4 linked regions of the Macaca fascicularis genome follow. The protein of the gene in region 2 binds, or shares a complex with, the protein of the main gene of each other region. Links are inferred from orthologs where the notes say so. Each region holds a gene or a part of one and is shown on either strand. Other genes may lie near its edges.

Evidence for each region.
Region 1: the proteins of PARD3 (region 2) and CDH5 are in contact, whole or in part, in an NMR structure (PDB 2KOH), measured with the Mus musculus proteins. The link is inferred for Macaca fascicularis from reciprocal best matches to the Homo sapiens genes PARD3 and CDH5. Residues at the interface, in NP_296369.2 of Mus musculus: Ala599, Gly600, Leu601, Gly602, Val603, Ser604, Val605, Lys606, Gly607, Arg609, Lys611, Lys622, Ile625, Asn655, Gln656, Met659, Arg663, Met666; in NP_033998.2 of Mus musculus: Tyr774, Gly775, Asp777, Gln779, Glu780, Glu781, Leu782, Ile783, Ile784.
Region 3: the proteins of PARD3 (region 2) and PTEN are in contact, whole or in part, in an NMR structure (PDB 2K20), measured with the Rattus norvegicus proteins. The link is inferred for Macaca fascicularis from reciprocal best matches to the Homo sapiens genes PARD3 and PTEN. Residues at the interface, in NP_112514.1 of Rattus norvegicus: Ala599, Gly600, Leu601, Gly602, Val603, Ser604, Val605, Lys606, Gly607, Asn608, Arg609, Ser610, Lys611, His614, Lys622, Ile625, Met659, Leu662, Arg663, Met666; in NP_113794.1 of Rattus norvegicus: Asp393, Glu394, Asp395, Ser398, Gln399, Ile400, Thr401, Lys402, Val403.
Region 4: PARD3 (region 2) and PRKCZ share a complex: the UniProt entries of both Homo sapiens proteins name them as parts of the par polarity complex. The link is inferred for Macaca fascicularis from reciprocal best matches to the Homo sapiens genes PARD3 and PRKCZ.

What each region holds. Positions count from the first base shown.
Region 1 is NC_088394.1:62,396,556-62,400,405, forward strand, and holds part of CDH5 (cadherin-5), read left to right. Parts: intron 1-235; coding exon 236-423; intron 424-1,955; coding exon 1,956-2,203; intron 2,204-3,850. UniProt on the Homo sapiens protein: Cadherins are calcium-dependent cell adhesion proteins. They preferentially interact with themselves in a homophilic manner in connecting cells; cadherins may thus contribute to the sorting of heterogeneous cell types.
Region 2 is NC_088383.1:35,575,329-35,579,691, forward strand, and holds the start of PARD3 (partitioning defective 3 homolog), read right to left. Parts: upstream 2,899-4,363; 5' UTR 2,802-2,898; coding exon 2,682-2,801; intron 1,898-2,681; exon of another isoform or gene 1,762-1,897; intron 1-1,761. UniProt on the Homo sapiens protein: Adapter protein involved in asymmetrical cell division and cell polarization processes. Seems to play a central role in the formation of epithelial tight junctions. Targets the phosphatase PTEN to cell junctions.
Region 3 is NC_088383.1:96,734,571-96,738,967, reverse strand, and holds the start of PTEN (phosphatidylinositol 3,4,5-trisphosphate 3-phosphatase and dual-specificity protein phosphatase PTEN), read right to left. Parts: upstream 3,127-4,397; 5' UTR 2,282-3,126; coding exon 2,203-2,281; intron 1-2,202. Other genes in the region: KLLN (killin), read left to right, coding at 4,257-4,397. UniProt on the Homo sapiens protein: Dual-specificity protein phosphatase, dephosphorylating tyrosine-, serine- and threonine-phosphorylated proteins.
Region 4 is NC_088375.1:232,633,183-232,637,032, forward strand, and holds part of PRKCZ (protein kinase C zeta type), read right to left. Parts: intron 3,373-3,850; coding exon 3,320-3,372; intron 1,774-3,319; coding exon 1,585-1,773; intron 1-1,584. UniProt on the Homo sapiens protein: Calcium- and diacylglycerol-independent serine/threonine-protein kinase that functions in phosphatidylinositol 3-kinase (PI3K) pathway and mitogen-activated protein (MAP) kinase cascade, and is involved in NF-kappa-B activation, mitogenic signaling, cell proliferation, cell polarity, inflammatory response and maintenance of long-term potentiation (LTP).

The sequences.
Region 1 (3,850 bases), on a different chromosome or scaffold from region 2:
GTGCTTGGCATATAATAGGTGCTTAATAGCTATTTATTGGATGGAGGGATAGATGGATGGACACACAGATAGGGAAGACCCTCTTTACCTTGAGAATCCCAGGGATATTATTATTTATTATTATTTTATTATGCCCATTTCTTGTCTCAAAATATGTTAGAATAGATCTGAAAGAGACAATCGCCTTGTCTATCTCATTAACCCAATGCCCTTTCGGGTACTCTGTTTGCATCAGCCAAGTACACATTTGTCGTGCCTGAGGACACCCGTGTGGGCACCTCTGTGGGCTCTCTGTTTGTTGAAGACCCAGATGAGCCCCAGAACCGGATGACCAAGTATAGCATCTTGCGGGGCGACTACCAGGATGCTTTCACCATTGAGACAAACCCCACCCACAACGAGGGCATCATCAAGCCCATGAAGGTTTGTAGGCCAATGGTAACAACATCAAACATGGGGCTTGGGGCTCTTGGCACCCACAGGTCCTGCCTGGGGGTTGCTCTTGGGCCAGAGACCATCAAAGGACCATCAAAGCTCCCAGCTGGTCATGTGTTCGTGGAGACTGTGATCCAGTGTCTTAGGGCAAGTTACTCGGGAAGCAGATCTTAAGGCAAAGATTGGGTATAAATCATTTATCTGGGAGGTGACCCCAGGAAGCCCCAGGAGCAATGACCCTTTTGGGGGGTCAGTGTGGAAAATATCTCAGAGTTGCAGCAGCTGAGGGTGAGGGAGCTGGGGTATTTATACACCCACTTCCTGTAGCGTTGACAGGACTGCTCCTGGAGGTTTTACCTCTCTGGCACTTTCTGGCCTGCCCTGTGTCCTGGCCAGTAGAAATCCATCAGCATGAAGAAAACAGTGAGTAATTGTGATGAAATGGATGGCCACTGACAATGGATGCTGCTGACAGTCAGAGAAGCCAGATCAACTGAATCTGGAAGAGGAGGGAGAGGACCTGTGGGGGGCATTAAAAAATGCCTCTGGAATGGCCATGCAGAGGACTGCAAGTCCTGGGCCTGAGTCCTTCTCTGACCCAGCCCCATGCTGGGGCCTGGAAACATCAAGGAGAGGCAGACACAGCCTCCAGTGTCAGCAAATGGGGAAGACATATGCATGAACAAAAAAAGTATAGCCAGGTGTAAGTGATACACAGCAGCTCTGAACAGGGAGCAATTACCTCTGCTGGGAGGGGTTTCTGAGAGAGCATCTGATTACCTTCTGTTTGGCTTCCTGAGGGATGAGTAGGAGTTTTCTAGGCAGGCAAGGGCAGGAGAAGCATCTTGAGCAAAGGTATAAAGAAAAAGCATGTCTGACCGGGCCTGGTGGCTCACGCCTGTAATCCCAGCACTTTGGGAGGCCAAGGCAGGTGGATCACCTGAGGTCAGGAGTTTGAGACCAGCCTGGCCAATATGGTGAAATCCTGTCTCTATTTAAAATACCAAAATTAGCTGGGCGTGGTGGCAGGTGCCTGTAATCCCAGCTACTTAGAAGGCTGAGGTAAGAGAATCGCTTGAACCTGGGAGGCAGAAGTTGCAGTGAGCCAAGATCGCACCATTGCGCTCCGATCTGGCACCAAGAGTGAGACTCTGTCTCAAAAACAAAGAAAAAGCCTGTCCTTAAGGACCTGTGGGTAGAACCACTAGTGATGCCCGTAAGAGTAGGACCATAGTTGATCCATTGCATGTCCCAAACGCTGGAAACAGAGCCAGGCAAAGAGCCAGGGTTGTGGGTGTGGCCATGAGGCTGCTGAGACGAAATGGGGAGCAGCTGAAGACAGACATTAGGCCCAGCTGCTCTCTTGATGACCTCAGAAATATCACTTGTCAAGGCCATGGGCCCCTCATCTATAAAATGGGTGTCGTCCTGGTACTACCTTGCACAGTTGCTGTGCAGATCATGTGCCACCCACATGCTTGGCCCAGAGCAGGCACTCACCATCCTTTTTTCTTATGCAGCCTCTGGATTACGAATACATCCAACAATATAGTTTCATTGTCGAGGCCACAGATCCCACCATCGACCTCCGATACCTGAGCCCTCCCGCCGGAAACAGAGCCCAGGTCATCATAAACATCACAGATGTGGACGAGCCCCCCATCTTCCAGCAGCCTTTCTACCACTTCCAGCTGAAAGAAAACCAGAAGAAGCCTCTGATTGGCACAGTGCTGGCCATGGACCCCGACGCGGCTAGGCATAGCATTGGGTAAGGGCATTGGGTAAGCATTGTCGATGAGGATGATGAGGACAATCCGGCCTGGATGTGCCTATGCCTGCTGGTCTGCGGCCAGGACTCACAGAGGGGAACTGGCTTCTCCTGGCACTTACGGGGAAAGTGACAGAGGCAAGATAAGAAGCCCAACCTCTTGCACTTGGCAGCCTGGCATCTTGACCTGCGCAGGCTCCCCCACCTAGCATGGTCCTGGGCATCCAGAGCTACTTGTCCTCTGTCCCGCCTTGAAGGCTTGTTCTCTGCACCACAGCTCTCACCAGTCCTATGTGGTAAGATCTGACAGTCAAGAGAGCAACCAATCAGATGACACACCAGAGACATTAAAACTGTATTCTTGAATCTATCTCCCCCAAACCACAAAAGTAAGAAGTGTTCATTTCATACGGTGAAACAACACAAAGATCTACCAAGAAAACATTGATAACCCCCACTGTCAGATAACTCATGTTCGTGGCCTGACCTGGTCCTATTGCTCCTTTCTTTTCATGACCACACAAATATATGGATGCATTTGTGGTGGGTTTGTTGTTGTCTGTTTGCTTTTGGTGTTTGATTGTTTTAAATTTTTTTTGGATCATGTCATGCTCATTTCATCGATATTTGCTCTTCTATCTTAACTAAATTTCTCTTTTACAATATTTAGAAAAAAAATGATATTGTTCCAACAGATACTTTTTAGAGCCATATAATATGCAATAGTAAGTATAAATTCAATTAAATTTAATTTTATTGCAGATGAATAGCAGATTTTGCCAGCACCATTTACTAAATATTATAATAATAAGTTATCATTTTCCCACCTTTGTTATATACTAAGTTCTCTGTATATACCTGAATCTACTTCTAATTCTCTGTCCTATCTATTGTTCTATAGCAAAGCCATTCTATTTTATTCTACTAGCTTGTATAAGTCCATTCTCCTATAAAGAAATAGTTAAGACTGGGTAATTTATAAAGAAAAGAGGTTTAATTGGTTCACATTTCCACAGGCTATACAGGAAGTATAGTGGCTTCTGCTTCTTGGGAGGCCTCAGGAAACTTACAATCCTGGGAAAGTAGGCATGTCTTACATGGCCAGAACAGGAGTGGGAAGGGAGTTGTTACACACTTTTCAACAACCTGATCTCATGATAACTCACTATCATGAGAACAGAACCTAGGGGATGGTGCTAATCCATTCATGAGAACTCTGCCCCATCTATCCACTTCCTACCAGGGCCCACCTCCAACACTGGGAATTACATTTCGACATGAGATTCGGTGGGGGGGACATAGATCCAAACCATATAGCTTTACACTAGACCTTAGATATACATAAAAGTTGTTCCCTTGTTGCTTTTTTATTTGACATAATTTTTTGTCAACTCTCATTTTTTCTTTTGTGAAATTTAAAATTTTGTAGCCAGGTTTTTTTAAAACATTAGAATTCTAATGTTTGTATATTATAAACATTAGTGTTTATATATTAATTTTGGTATAGCTAATCTTTCAAGGGTATTAAGTCTTCTTATTAAGGACAAAATATGTTCTTACATTTTGGCCTCATCTCCTAAGTTTTAGGACTACTCTTTTCATGGCCATTCTATTCTAAATAGCCTGTAATTATAATTTTTGTTTCTC
Region 2 (4,363 bases):
ACTGCAGAGAAAGCCTTGGTGATTTGAGAGTTGGGATCTTTCTCTTTTCCTTTTTATTTTTTATTTTTGGCTTGGTTGGTTATTATACAAAGCCATAAACATGATCTGCCCACATTTTTCCCCACCAGATGGGAGTTCATCACACCACATGTCACCTAGCAACCTAAACACCACTCCACAACTATCCAGCCACCCAATTCTTCATACAGAATTTCTCTTGTTCTATTAGGCAATACCGGTAAGGAACAGAGAATAAAAGTTAAAACAGTGTTAAATACATAATATCACTTCCTCATCACTTAATATAGAATGGGAAAAGTAGTAAGAAAGACTGAAAATTAATCTCAATCATTGTCTAGCAATTTCAGAATAAAAACGAGAAAAAGGAGACCTAGAAGACACTCAAGCTCTGGCAACATGAGGGTCAACAGTCTTGGGATCCAATGATTGAACTTGGTATACTGCAAAGCCCCCGTTAAAATTCACCCACTGAACTCTAAGTTGTACTTAAAGAGCATGTCAGTGTTGGAACCCCTGACCCATCTCTGACCCGCCCTCTCATCTCCAACTCCCATGTCACTATCACCCTCCCTTCCTTCAGCTCACAGGCCCCCTTTTCTCTTTGTGACACCTCCCCAGACACCCGTAAGAAAACTGCACTCCCTTTTCTATGCCCTGTGAAACAACCACTGCTAATTGTTAATAACAAGGACCAGGTCTGTGACCAAGGCCCTGCGCTTTAGCCACCCAGCATCCCAGAGGCCCCTCTTCTCCCCATGTCACCACCAGCCCCTTCACCTGGAGGACTGCGCAGCCTCTTGCTCAGCCTCTCACAGCCAGTGGGTCCCCTAGATGTCCAGCACCCAGAACAGTGCTGTGAACACAGTCAAAGCTTCAAAATTTCTGTGGAACGAATGCCTCAAACAACATTTGAACTACTGTCAAATAGGCAGTTCAGCCTATGTCTATTTTGTGCACGATGAAACATGGGACACAGTAGGTAAAACAATTTTAATCACATAAAATTAATAAAGTGAAAGAAAATGTCGATCACCCTCTCCCTATTCAGGAGCCTAGACATACTGCAGAGTGCATATTACTTTATTTCTCTTTCCTTGCACAAAGTATTTTGTTGGTTTCCAGAGTGCCTGAACAATTTGAGTACTCTTTCGGAACACTTAAAGCATAAACTGTCACACATAAACAACACTTAAAAAAGCTAAATGCCCATTGAGATGGTTTTCTTTCCCTTTGTCAGCTTTGCAAGATAAACAGGTGTCCAATTCCCACTAATTTTATTTGATTTTCAATAAAAGAGTTCAACCAACTGTAAGGAACATAACAGAGCTATTAAAGCCAATGTCTTCCATCCTTGTGCCGGGTTCCTAAACGTCCCCCAAAATTATCTTTAAAAGCCCAAATTTATGCTACTTTTTCCAGTGTATACTAAAAGCAAAACAGCAGTCTAAAAAGCTTTTTATTTTTAATTTCTGAGAGAACTGAAGATGCCACCGGAGTACCCTGTGTACGCTAAATAGGGCTGACCAAGCCACTTTCCAACGTCATCTGCAGCCCCCAAGCCCATAGGGGCCAGGCCACTGTCGGGAACAAATGGGAAATACTGCACCGAAGTGAATGCACTCCCCACCAAAGAGGACTCTACTACAAAGGAAATATCCCCGGGTGCTTGGGAGAAACTTCAGCGTGGGCTGTTGTCAAACACAGACACAGTCGGTAAAACAATTTAGCAAAATGCCTTTTCACTTCTGACACATAGTAGAGGAATGCTGTGAAGTGGAGACAATGTTATCACTACAGCAAGAAAAAGGGAAATCCACTCAACTCTGAAGTCAGGCCCGGCTCCGCAGCCCAGCCACATGGAAGCAGCCCAGGATAGGTAGGAGCTGAGGTCCTCGCAGGAAAACTTTTCTTTCCGCGACCGTTTCAAGGTTGTGCTTTCCAGAGCCCAGTAAGGGGGATCAGCTCAGTAAATGCTCGCAAGCGAGTGCTGAGTGCCACCGGTGGCCCTCCCGGGAACGCCTCCCCGATCCCAAGCCGGCTACTCCCCAAACCCTGCAGCCCCCGGACGCGCGCCCCTGCCCGCCCCTGCTCGCGGGGGACAAGGAGGAAAAGACCCCCCGCCGCGGTCCCGCCCCCGCCCGAGGAAGGGAGAGGAGACAGAAGGCTCGCAGCCCGCCTCCGTCGGGAGGGCAGTCACGAAACTCTCCTCACACCAAAAGTTCCCAGTCCCCGGCCTGTGCCCGCGGGGCCTGGGAGCCGGGAGAGGCCTGGGGCTGGATTTCCCGGCCCGCGCCCCTGCGCGCCGGCTCGGGGCTTGGCTAGCTCTACAGACTACGGGGAAGCGCCCAGGGCCGGCCTGTGCGCCGCTGCCCGGCTCGCCCCGCGCTCCTGAGGCCGGAGCTCCCGGGGAAAGGGGGATGGGGAAGGGGAGGGCGGGGGCCGCGGGACCCGGCTGGGTGCCCCCGAGGCTGCGACCCGGCCAGCGCTGACAACTTTGGCGCCCGCAGCCCGGGGCGGGGGGCGCCCGCGAGGCCGGCCCGGCCGCACTTTCCCTTTCCCCGCCTCCCTGCGCCTCTCCTCCCCCTTCCAGGAAGCGCCATATTGATCCCGGCGCCGTCCCCGCCGCCGCCCCCTCCCCGCCCGCGCCCCCGGCCCCTCACCTTGGCGATGGCCTTCCGGTAGCGGGTCACCGCCTGCTGGATGAGGCTGAAAACTTTCATGTGGCCGTCCCCGCACGGCACGACCACCCGGGTCCGTCCGAAGCACACGGTCACTTTCATGCCGCCGCCGCCGCGGGCGGGCCCGCGCCCCTCGCCGAGCGCAGCCGGAGCAGCCGGGGCCGGGGCCGGGACCAGGGACGCTGGGCGCGGAGGAGCCGCGGGGGACTTGGACGCGCGGGCGGCTAGGGGCGAGGGCAGGCGGCGGCGACGCCGGGGGGCCGCTCAGCTCGCATGCCCGGTCCGGCCCGGCCACCCTCGCCTCGCCCGGGGCTCGCCTCGCCTCTCCCCGCCGCGGCGCCCGCAGCCTCCGGCCACCTGTTCGGCGTCTCGGCGCGCTCGCCGGCGGCGGCCCGGGGCTGTGTGGCGCTGGCGCTCGCTCGGGGCCGCTGGGGGAGGGGACGGCGCGAGGGGAGGGGAGGGGGAGGAGCAGGGCCGGGCACACAACACCGCGCACATGCGGCAGGGGGAGGCGCGGCCGGCTACCCGCGCGGGGCGGAGCGCACGACCGCAGCCCGCGCCCCCGCCACCGCCCTCCGGGGCCGGCCTCCTTCCGTCCCTCCCTCCCTCCCTCCGGAGGCTTGGGACCCCTGGTCCCACCGCCAACCCGGGCAGGCGGCCATCTGCCCCCACCAACCGTGGCCCGGGCGCCCCCCAGCCCCCTTCACCCCGCCCGCCCAGCTCCCTGCAGGGCTGCGCTCGCCCCTCCTCGGGGACGCCCCTTCCACGCCTCCAGAGGTCTCCACGGAGCCCCCCCCCCTTCCCTTTCCTTTGTCACTTTTAATCCCCTTCCTTGGACTGGAGGGTTTCGGGTGCAGGCGCTCCCGGGGAAGGCAGTTTTTGCTCAGCGCGGCGAGTCCCCTCCTCATCGCCCCGGAGGCTCCAGCCCGAGCCTCTCTGCCCTCGGGGACTCGAGCCTGCGGCTTGCTCCGCTGGGTTTCTGCCCTGCCCGCTCCCTAGCTCGGCTGCAGGGTCGGGCAGCGGCAGTTCTGCCTGAAACGCAAGAATTAATAGTCTGCTCTGGGGAGGCAGTGGGGAAGCTGTGAGCGACCGGGCGTTTTTCAGAGGTCACTGTTTACCTTGAAGTTTCCTGTTGACCCTCCGCTGACCCACCCACTTAAATAGATTAGACCGTAAACATCGCAATTCTGATACATTTATTTCTTTCAAGTTCTGCAGCATAAGCAATCCTAACGCGAATCCGTGAACAGCCTATTCTGACGCCGCGGAGAAAGCTCACGCGGGAATCCCCACGGTGTGCCCGCGCTTAACGCAGACGCCTGAACCCCGAGGAAGGCTCCGACTCCGCAATGAGTGACATGCGGGCTTGAGAAGTTCTGAAGGAACGTGATCCGAGTTAGGGAACGTAACTGAAGCTCATTTTGTCTTAGTTATGGACTATGATTCCTTAATAAACGTATGTCATTATGTTTAAAGAATGACAAATGTCAGCAAAGAGTGGTCCCTGTCCCAAGCCCGTTCCAGACTATGTGAAATTCTTTTTTGCCAGTTATTTCCGAGGGACGTGAAAGCAATCAAGCTGCCCTGGGTTGGCGCAGAACTTGAGCACTTAGAGGTGGAAGAGCTGGCGATTGACCATCCATCCCACTCCACCTCCAATCTTA
Region 3 (4,397 bases), about 61 Mb from region 2:
AGAGACCCACATACTCTGAAATCAAAGGAAATGCCAGTCACATCACAGCTCACATGTAAAAACCTGGTAGAATAATTTTAAGGTCTTAATAACCCTGACAATTTTAAATAAAGTGGGAAAAGTAAAAGTAGTGTGTATGTACTTTAAGTGCTGAAAGAAATCTGTCTCCCAGACAGCATTTAATTATTTTCTTCAGAGGCTTTTTTTTCAAAGTTACATAAACATTTAATTTTTTGTTCCTATATATTTGGATGACTGCTAATAGTAGTCCAAATGCTAATAGTAGACTGCTTTGGAAGTCACAAAAGAATTTTTTCCATAATTATCTTCTGGGCAAGCGGGTTTAGCCTTAGTAACATTTTTATCTTCCAGTTTAGCCTTAGTAACATTTTCAATTAATGCCAACTTCAAAATTTGCAAATACTGTTTTAAAATAATATTACTGACTTAACAGAAAACTAAATTTTGGGAGGCTACTTCTTCAGTAAGTTTTATATTCATTTCAAAACAAAAACTTGGGCAAAATTAACTGTGCACATGTATATGCAGCTAACATAATCCAAGGGAATAAAACCTCTCCCGATATAAACGTTGTCTTAAAAAAAAATCTTCCCCACAATTTTTAGCAGGACATATAGACACTGCAGTGTCACGCTACCTTTAGACAAAATGCAACTGATACTTGCTAAGAAATAATTTTTATTAAAAATACTTTGCTAGTACTTATGCAATTACATAATTTTAACTAAATATTGTCCACTGCCACAATTCGCATTACCAAACTCATATTACCAAATTTTAGGCCTTGATAGAGCCTAAATGCTTCAGTCACTTCAGACCAATAACTTCTGTTTTCACATACCTTATACACTGGCCTACCAATAGCTCTCAATTCCTGTCAATACTTTCCATTCTGCAAAATGAGGGCCCCATCCCCATCCCTAATCAAAACCAGTCTGTTGTACCTGAAACTGCAAAGATTCATGCTTTTCGATGACCACTAACTTTTGAAGCCCGAAGGCCTAACTTTTAGACAACTAAAGCTATACACTGTTAAAATTCTTGGGCTTCTGTCTTATTCAACAAGCTGACTCAGTAAATTTAATACACTGTATGAAAAAAGCTAACATACCTACAATCTAAAGCTGGAGTAAACTTCTCTTGCCAGCATTTCTGGATATTAGCTGGTAAAATTCACTTGACATTCTACACAAATCAGTGAAATTAACAGTACCAAAAGATGTCAGAGAACCTGAAATCTAAAAACGGTGAGCAGCAATTCTGGCATCACAATACTTAAATTTCAAGCATGAACTGAAGTTTTATCTTTGCAATCTTCACTTGCCACACACAATACCCTTGAACCTACACATTGTCATCTGGGATCAAAAACTACTCAATATCCATTCCATGTTTATGACAAGAGCACTGAACATTAAACGCTACTGAAGTGCAAATTTCAAGCCCTATCCTACATCATCCCATAGGGAGAGAAAAAGGTAAATATAACAAAGATCTAGTAAGAACGCCTTATAAGGTATATTATGGCATTATTGATTTCAAACTACAAAACTTCTAAATACAGTCCAAAGTTGTAACTTAAGTGTAAAACATTAACAAAACTACTTTTTGCACTCAATGTGCACCATATATACTGAAAATTATTCTGCTTCTAAAGTTATGCAAATCAGTCATATTTTAAAAGAATCTATCAATGCAACCCAGGAAACTAAAACAATCACTGCAAGATTCTGATGCAATATGCATACGTGCAACACTAATTTTCATTTTATTCTGATCTAAACCCTTGATCTAGGGCCTAAGCCAAGATTTAATCGAAATATGCTCAACCTCAAAGCGTCTACTTTTTTGTTCATTTAGGAGACCGGATTACCGAGCTCTCTAATCCACTAACAGCATACTGTATTCTGTATTAACGGACAATAGCCCTCAGGAAGAGACCGTATAGACAGCCTAAGCAAGCAATCGGTGCCTCGACACTTGCAACCAGGCAAGAGTTCTGTCTAGCCGAACACACCCTAGGTTGAATACAAGAAAAGAAACACAAAATATATGACCTAGCAACCCGACCAGGGTTAAATGTTATAGTCGCCCAAACTAGGGACATTTTCGCATCCGTCTACTCCCACGTTCTAAGAGAGTGACAGAAAGGCAAAGAGGAGCAGCCGCAGAAATGGATACAGGTCAAGTCTAAGTCGAATCCATCCTCTTGATATCTCCTTTTGTTTCTGCTAACGATCTCTTTGATGATGGCTGTCATGTCTGGGAGCCTGTGGCTGAAGAAAAAGGAGGAGAGAGATGGCAGAAGCTGCTGGTGGCGGGGCTTCTTCTGCAGGATGGAAATGGCTCTGGACTTGGCGGTAGCTGATGCCCCTCGCTCTGCCGCCGCTTGGCTCTGGACCGCAGCCGGGTAATGGCTGCTGCGGCGGCTGCTGGATGGTTGCAGCGACTGGGCCTGCTTCTCCTCAGCAGCCAGAGGCCTGGCAGCAGCGGCAGCGGAATGGGGAGAAGACGAATAATCCTCGGAACGGCTGCCTCCTCCGGCGGCCTCCGGAGCCCGGGCCACGGGGGGTGCGGCGGCGGCGGAGGGGAGGTTTAAAACCGGCCCGGGTCCCTGGATGTGCCGCCGCCGCCGCCGCCGTGTTGGAGGCAGTAGAAGGGGAGAGACCAACTCTCCGGCGTTCCCAGCCCTGGAAATGGTGACAGGCGACTCAGACCCCCTCCCTGGAGCTGCAGCCGCCGCGGCCGCCGCGGCCGCCGCTTCTCCCCCCCGCTCCAGGAGCGGGAGGTGCCGCCGCCGCCGCCGCGCCTCAGCCGGCTCCCGCCCGAGCCCACGGCTTCCACCTTCCCCTTCAAGAGAAGCCGAGGAAGCGGCTGCACGGTTAGAAAAGACGAAGAGGAGGCGAGAAACGCCGCCGCTGCCGCCGCCGCAGGCCGGCCGGCTCCCCGAGGGCGCTGCCCCCGCGGCTGCTCACAGGCGCTGAGAGGGGCTCCGGGCCGCGGCCGCCGCCGTCTCTCATCTCCCTCGCCTGAGCCCGGCCTCGCCTCACAGCGGCTCAACTCTCAAACTTCCATCATGGCTGCAGCTTCCGAGAGGAGAGAACTGAGCGCAGCCGCGTCCCGGCGCCCGAGCGCGTATCCTGCCGCAGTGCATAAAGAGTCCCGCCACATCACCGCCCGCCGGCCTGCCCGCCCCCTCCGCCGCCGCGCCGGGAGCCCGGGCTCCTCGGGAGACCGAGGGGAGGCGGGAGCTGAACGAGAGGCGGACTGGACCGTGCCGGGCGAGGGGAGGGCAGGGCAGGGGGCGGTAGGCGGGGACAGAAGCGGTAGCTCCGGGTGCGAGCGCAAAGCCCCCAAGCCGTAGGCTCTACTGAGCATGCCCAGTGTGGCTGCCTAGAGCTCGCTCGGGCCGGTTCCGAGCCGCCAGCCTGCAACTGCACTTGCCGCGGCTGCTTTTGCAGCAGCGCGAGGCGAGGATAACGAGCTAAGCCTCGGCCTCTGCCCAGAAACCCAGCCGGAGGCAGGGTAGGCTGTTGCGGGGCGGGGGTGGAGGACTGATGATGAAAGCTGAGATGGGTGCGTTGAGCAGTGTCACTGACTCGAGTCTCAGGTTACCTGTGCACAGGTGGAAAGGACCAGGTGACCACGCTGGTCAGTATACAGGGAAATGCAGGGACGGTCCTTGCAAGGGTAATACCCTCCCCCCTGCCTCTGCCCCTGGATTTCCGCGGCGTGGACTGCATTCGCTCTTTTGCATCGCTGTCGATCACAGTCGTTCGCAGAGATTTGACTGTAGCAGCCTTTGCCTAGAGATTCCTCCTTTCCCCAACCCTGTGTCCTCAGGATGTCAGTCTTAGCACAAAGAGCAACCTGCTATTGTGTTTCCAGCGTGCATCACCTCATCCGGCTCCCTTGTAGCGCCCCACCTCTCGCTTCCCCGGTAACTCGGCTTGTTTGCCCTAAAAATGAAAGCTCTCAGCCGAGCGTGCTGAACGTGAACACATCGCCGTTGAATTTCCAGAGCCCAAAGGGCACCTATCTAAATGAACTGAAAGAGGATCCCCGTGAGTAGGACGCACCCCGCAGCCCTCTCCTGCGCCCGCTCCGGTGCCCCTAGGAGACTAGAGCATCTCTCCCCCTCGGGCTCCAAGTCAGTTCGCCGCGTCGGACTCAAGCTCGGTTCTTAGAGACCACCTAGCCCCGCCCCCCCTTGGCCTCCGTGAAAACCCGGCGGGATGGATCGCCCGGGGCCAGGCTCCACGCGCCCCGGCCAGACCATGCACGTTCGGGGTTACCAGGTTGAGTGGAAAGTACGGAACGGTAGGAAGCTGCAGCCCAGCGAGTGGGCGGGGCAAGGAGACCTAGGAGGGTTCAAA
Region 4 (3,850 bases), on a different chromosome or scaffold from region 2:
ATTTTTGTATTTTTAGTATAGTTGGGTAGCTGGGATTAGAGGTGTGTGCCACCACACCTGGCTAATTTTTGTATTTTTAGTATAGTTGGGTAGCTGGGATTAGAGGTGTGCGCCACCACACCTGGCTAATTTTTGTATTTTTAGTATAGTTGGGTTTTCACCATATATTGGTCAGGCTGGTCTTGAACTCCTGACCTCAGGTAATCCACCCGTCTTGGCCTCCCAAAGTGCTGGGATTATAGGTGTGAGCCACCATGCCTGGCCCTAACTGTACATTTTAAAATGTCAAATTCTATGCCATGTGTATTTTACTATAATTAAAACAAAAAGGTGTATGAAGTCAGAATCAAGATTTCAACAAATAGGCCAAGAGCAGTGACTCATGCCTGTAATCCCAGCACTCCAGCAGGCTGAGTGGGGCAGAGTGCATGAGTGCAGGAATTCGAAACCAGCCTGGGCAACATAGTTGAACCCCGTCTCTACAAAAAACACAAAAAATAGCCGGGCATGGTGGTGCACGCCTGTAGCCCTGGCTCCTCTGGAGGCTGAAGTGGGAAGATCACCTCAGCCCAGCAAGAGGTGGAGGCTGCAGGAGGAGGTGGAGGCTGCAGGAGGTGAGCTGTGATCATGCTCTGCACTCCAGCCTGGGTGACAGAGTGAGACACTGCCTCTACAGAAAATACAAAATTATACAGCTGGGGGTGGTGGCTCATGCCTGTAGTCCCAACACTCTGGAGGCTGAAGTGGGAGGATCACCTGAGCTGGGGAGTTTGAGGCTACATGGGCTGTGATCAAGTCACTCCAGCCTGGGTGACAGAGTAAGACCCTGTTTAAGAACCTATTTCCAAAAAAAAAAAGATTTCAACAAATAAACCATTGATCCTATAATCAATAAACTTCTCCCCCAGAAACAGCTGGTGTGGGAAGATCTGCTACACAGAGCCGCGGCAGTTCAGCACGTCCCTCAAAGCTGGGGCCTTGTGCAGGACGGAGTGAGGCAGTGCCTCTGGGCAGCTTCCTGTCCTACCCCATCACCCGCCCGGTTCAGCTCAACCCCAGGGATTTCCTAACAAGGGTGACGACGTCCTCAAGCTCAACCGCAGTCTGCTGGAAGGCGACGTATCAGTGGTTGGCCACACACGCGAAGGTCGCGGAGACGATACCCATCTTCACCTTTTCAAAGCTTAGACACGAGTGCTCTCTGCGGTGGTCCGCTCACTGCCTGCGGTGTGCAGTGCACGGACAGCCGTGCGGGCCGGCAGCCTGAGAGCAGGAGCTGCACTGTGCATCCTGGCCGCGGAGTTGGCTGCGCCGTTTGGGTTTGTGGAGCACGCGTTGTGACATTCACACAACGGTGCCATCACCTGACCAGGCACTTTCCAGAACACGTCCCGGTTGTTACGCGACGCATCACTATTGATTTTGCGCAAACTCCATCAATACGAGGCCAGGACTCTCATGCCTGGATTAATTTTGCTAAAGCCTGGAGCATTCATTATGGCCTTCTAATGCCCTCTTCCCCAGGTGGCGGCCCCAGGGCGGTGCGTTCCCGGGACCCCGAGCGCCGTGAGAAGTGGCACCTACCTCGTCGTCATGCACCAGCTCTTTCTTCACCACTTTCATGGCGTAAATTTGGTCATTCTTCTTCAACCGCACCAGGAGAACCTTGGCGTAGCTCCCGCGCCCTATGACTCTGATTAGGTCGAAGTCCTGCAGCCCGAGCCCCTGAGAGATTTTGATTCCATCCATCCCATCGATAACTGGCTTAAGGTCCTAGGAAGGGAGAACAAGACCCCAGAAAGTGAGGGGAGAGGGGTCCCGGGAGATTCAGAGGACCACGCATCACTCATGCGGTCCCAACAGAGATCTGCTCCTCAGAGCCTAGAGCCTCACGATCCCAGTCTCAGCTCTGCGTCCCACAGATCCCACCCCCACACTCCCATCTAAACCGGGGCACAAAAGGTGAGAACTTCAGGCTGTGCTTCTGAGGAAGGTGCTAGAAAGTCGGAAGCTGCTCGTTTCCACAGACCATGGCTCTGGTCACAGCTGCCAGTGGGAGGGACCCCCAGGCCTTCAGCCCTACCAGTCGGGCTGAAGAGGTGGCCACTGGGACATGCGGCCCAGGGCCTGGGCCCATCCTTCCCCATCAGGGCCCTCCCTCGGGGAAGGAAGGTAAAGCAAACGTAGCTAATGCCTGCCAAGAGCTCCCAAACCGGCAAGCACACATTATTAGAAATAATTATTAGAAATATACAGAAGAAAGGCGCTCCGAGGAAAAAGAGAAGCCTCGGCCTCCTGCAAGCTACACCAGGCAAGGATGTCGGGGTGGAGGAGGTAGTTCGCTAGGAGGTGCTGTTCTGTGCAGCAGAATGGATTCTGCTTTTTTTGAGACAGGGTCTTCCTCTGCCACCCAGGCTGGAGTGCAGTGGCGCAATCTCGGCTCACTGCAGCCTCCACCTCCCAAGCTCAGGCGATCCTCCCACCTCAGCCTCCCAAGCAGCTGGGACCACAGGCCCATGCCACCATGCCCAGCTAATTATTTTGTATTTATTTTTGCAGGAATAGGGTTTCACTACGCTGCCCAGGCTGTTCTCAAGCTTCTGGACTCAAGTGATCTGCCCGGCCCAGCCTCCCAAAATGCTGGGATTGGAGGTGTGAGCCACCGTGCCCGGCTTTGGATTCTGCTTTCTAAGTGACCCAGCCTCCCTCCAGACACAGGACGGCCAGGAAGGAGCACGAGTTGTGAGGGTGGTATGTGCCGCTGCTCTGGAAAGGTGTGGGCTTTGCCAGCGCAGCCCTTTCTTGGGTTTTACGAGCAGAGGCTGAGAACACAGCAAGCTCTTCTGTTCCCTTCTCAGGGTTTGTGGTGCAGAGCTGGCCACAGACGCGAGGCTCAGTTGAGCCTCTTCGCTTGAGTTGGGGAAGGACGTGAAAAGGCATTAGAGGGGTTTGCCAGGACGGCCAAACGAGGCAACGAAAGGAAGGCCGTGGTGCAGACACAACTTGATAAAAATTACAGCTCAAAAGCCAGCCCCTGGGCCACTGTACTGCCTGGGTGGAGAGGATGTGGGGCGCGGCTTCCCCCCAGGGTGTGGTCCCCAGACCACCCGCTGGGACAGCTGCCTCCAGGGAATCACCAAGGATGTGCCTGAAATAAGACCCAAGAACAAGGGCTTCTTTCTAGACACCCACACCCGTAAAGATTAGCAACATCCCGGACCGTATATTTCACATCCAGATTTATGTGACTGCCCCAGAGGCAGGCTCACAGACTTCCAAGAGGACGCTGGAAAGGTAGCGAGCTGCTCCGCAGACTCACCTCAGAGTCGTCTTTAATGCTGTCATGTTTCCGGGATGAGGAAATGTAAGCAACTGGCGAGAGAGGGAGGAAGAGGCGTTACGGTGTCGTCAGGAACGCGCTGGGAACACAGCGACCCCGTGGGCCCTGCTCCTCCACCAGGCGACGGTGAAGGGCAACTCTACACAGCAGCCATGTCTGATTCTATTTTAGAGTCTTTTGAAAATGCAGCTTCCTGGGCCCCACTCAGACCTGCCGACTCTGACCATGGGACCTGGGGATGTACATTTGTGACACACGCCCCCAGGGGTCCATCTGCAAATAATTAGTCATCAGATTTTGGTGTCTAGTGAATGGGTGGGTGGGGCAGGAGGGGATGTCTAGTGAAGGGATGGAGGATGACTAGATGGGGGATGAATGGAGGCCTGGATGGAAGACGGACAGATGGAGAGGTCAGTGGACAACAGATGGATGGATAAATGGAGAGGTCAGTGGACAAGAGATGGATAGATGGAGAGGTCAGTGGACAAGAGATGGATAGATGGAGAGGTC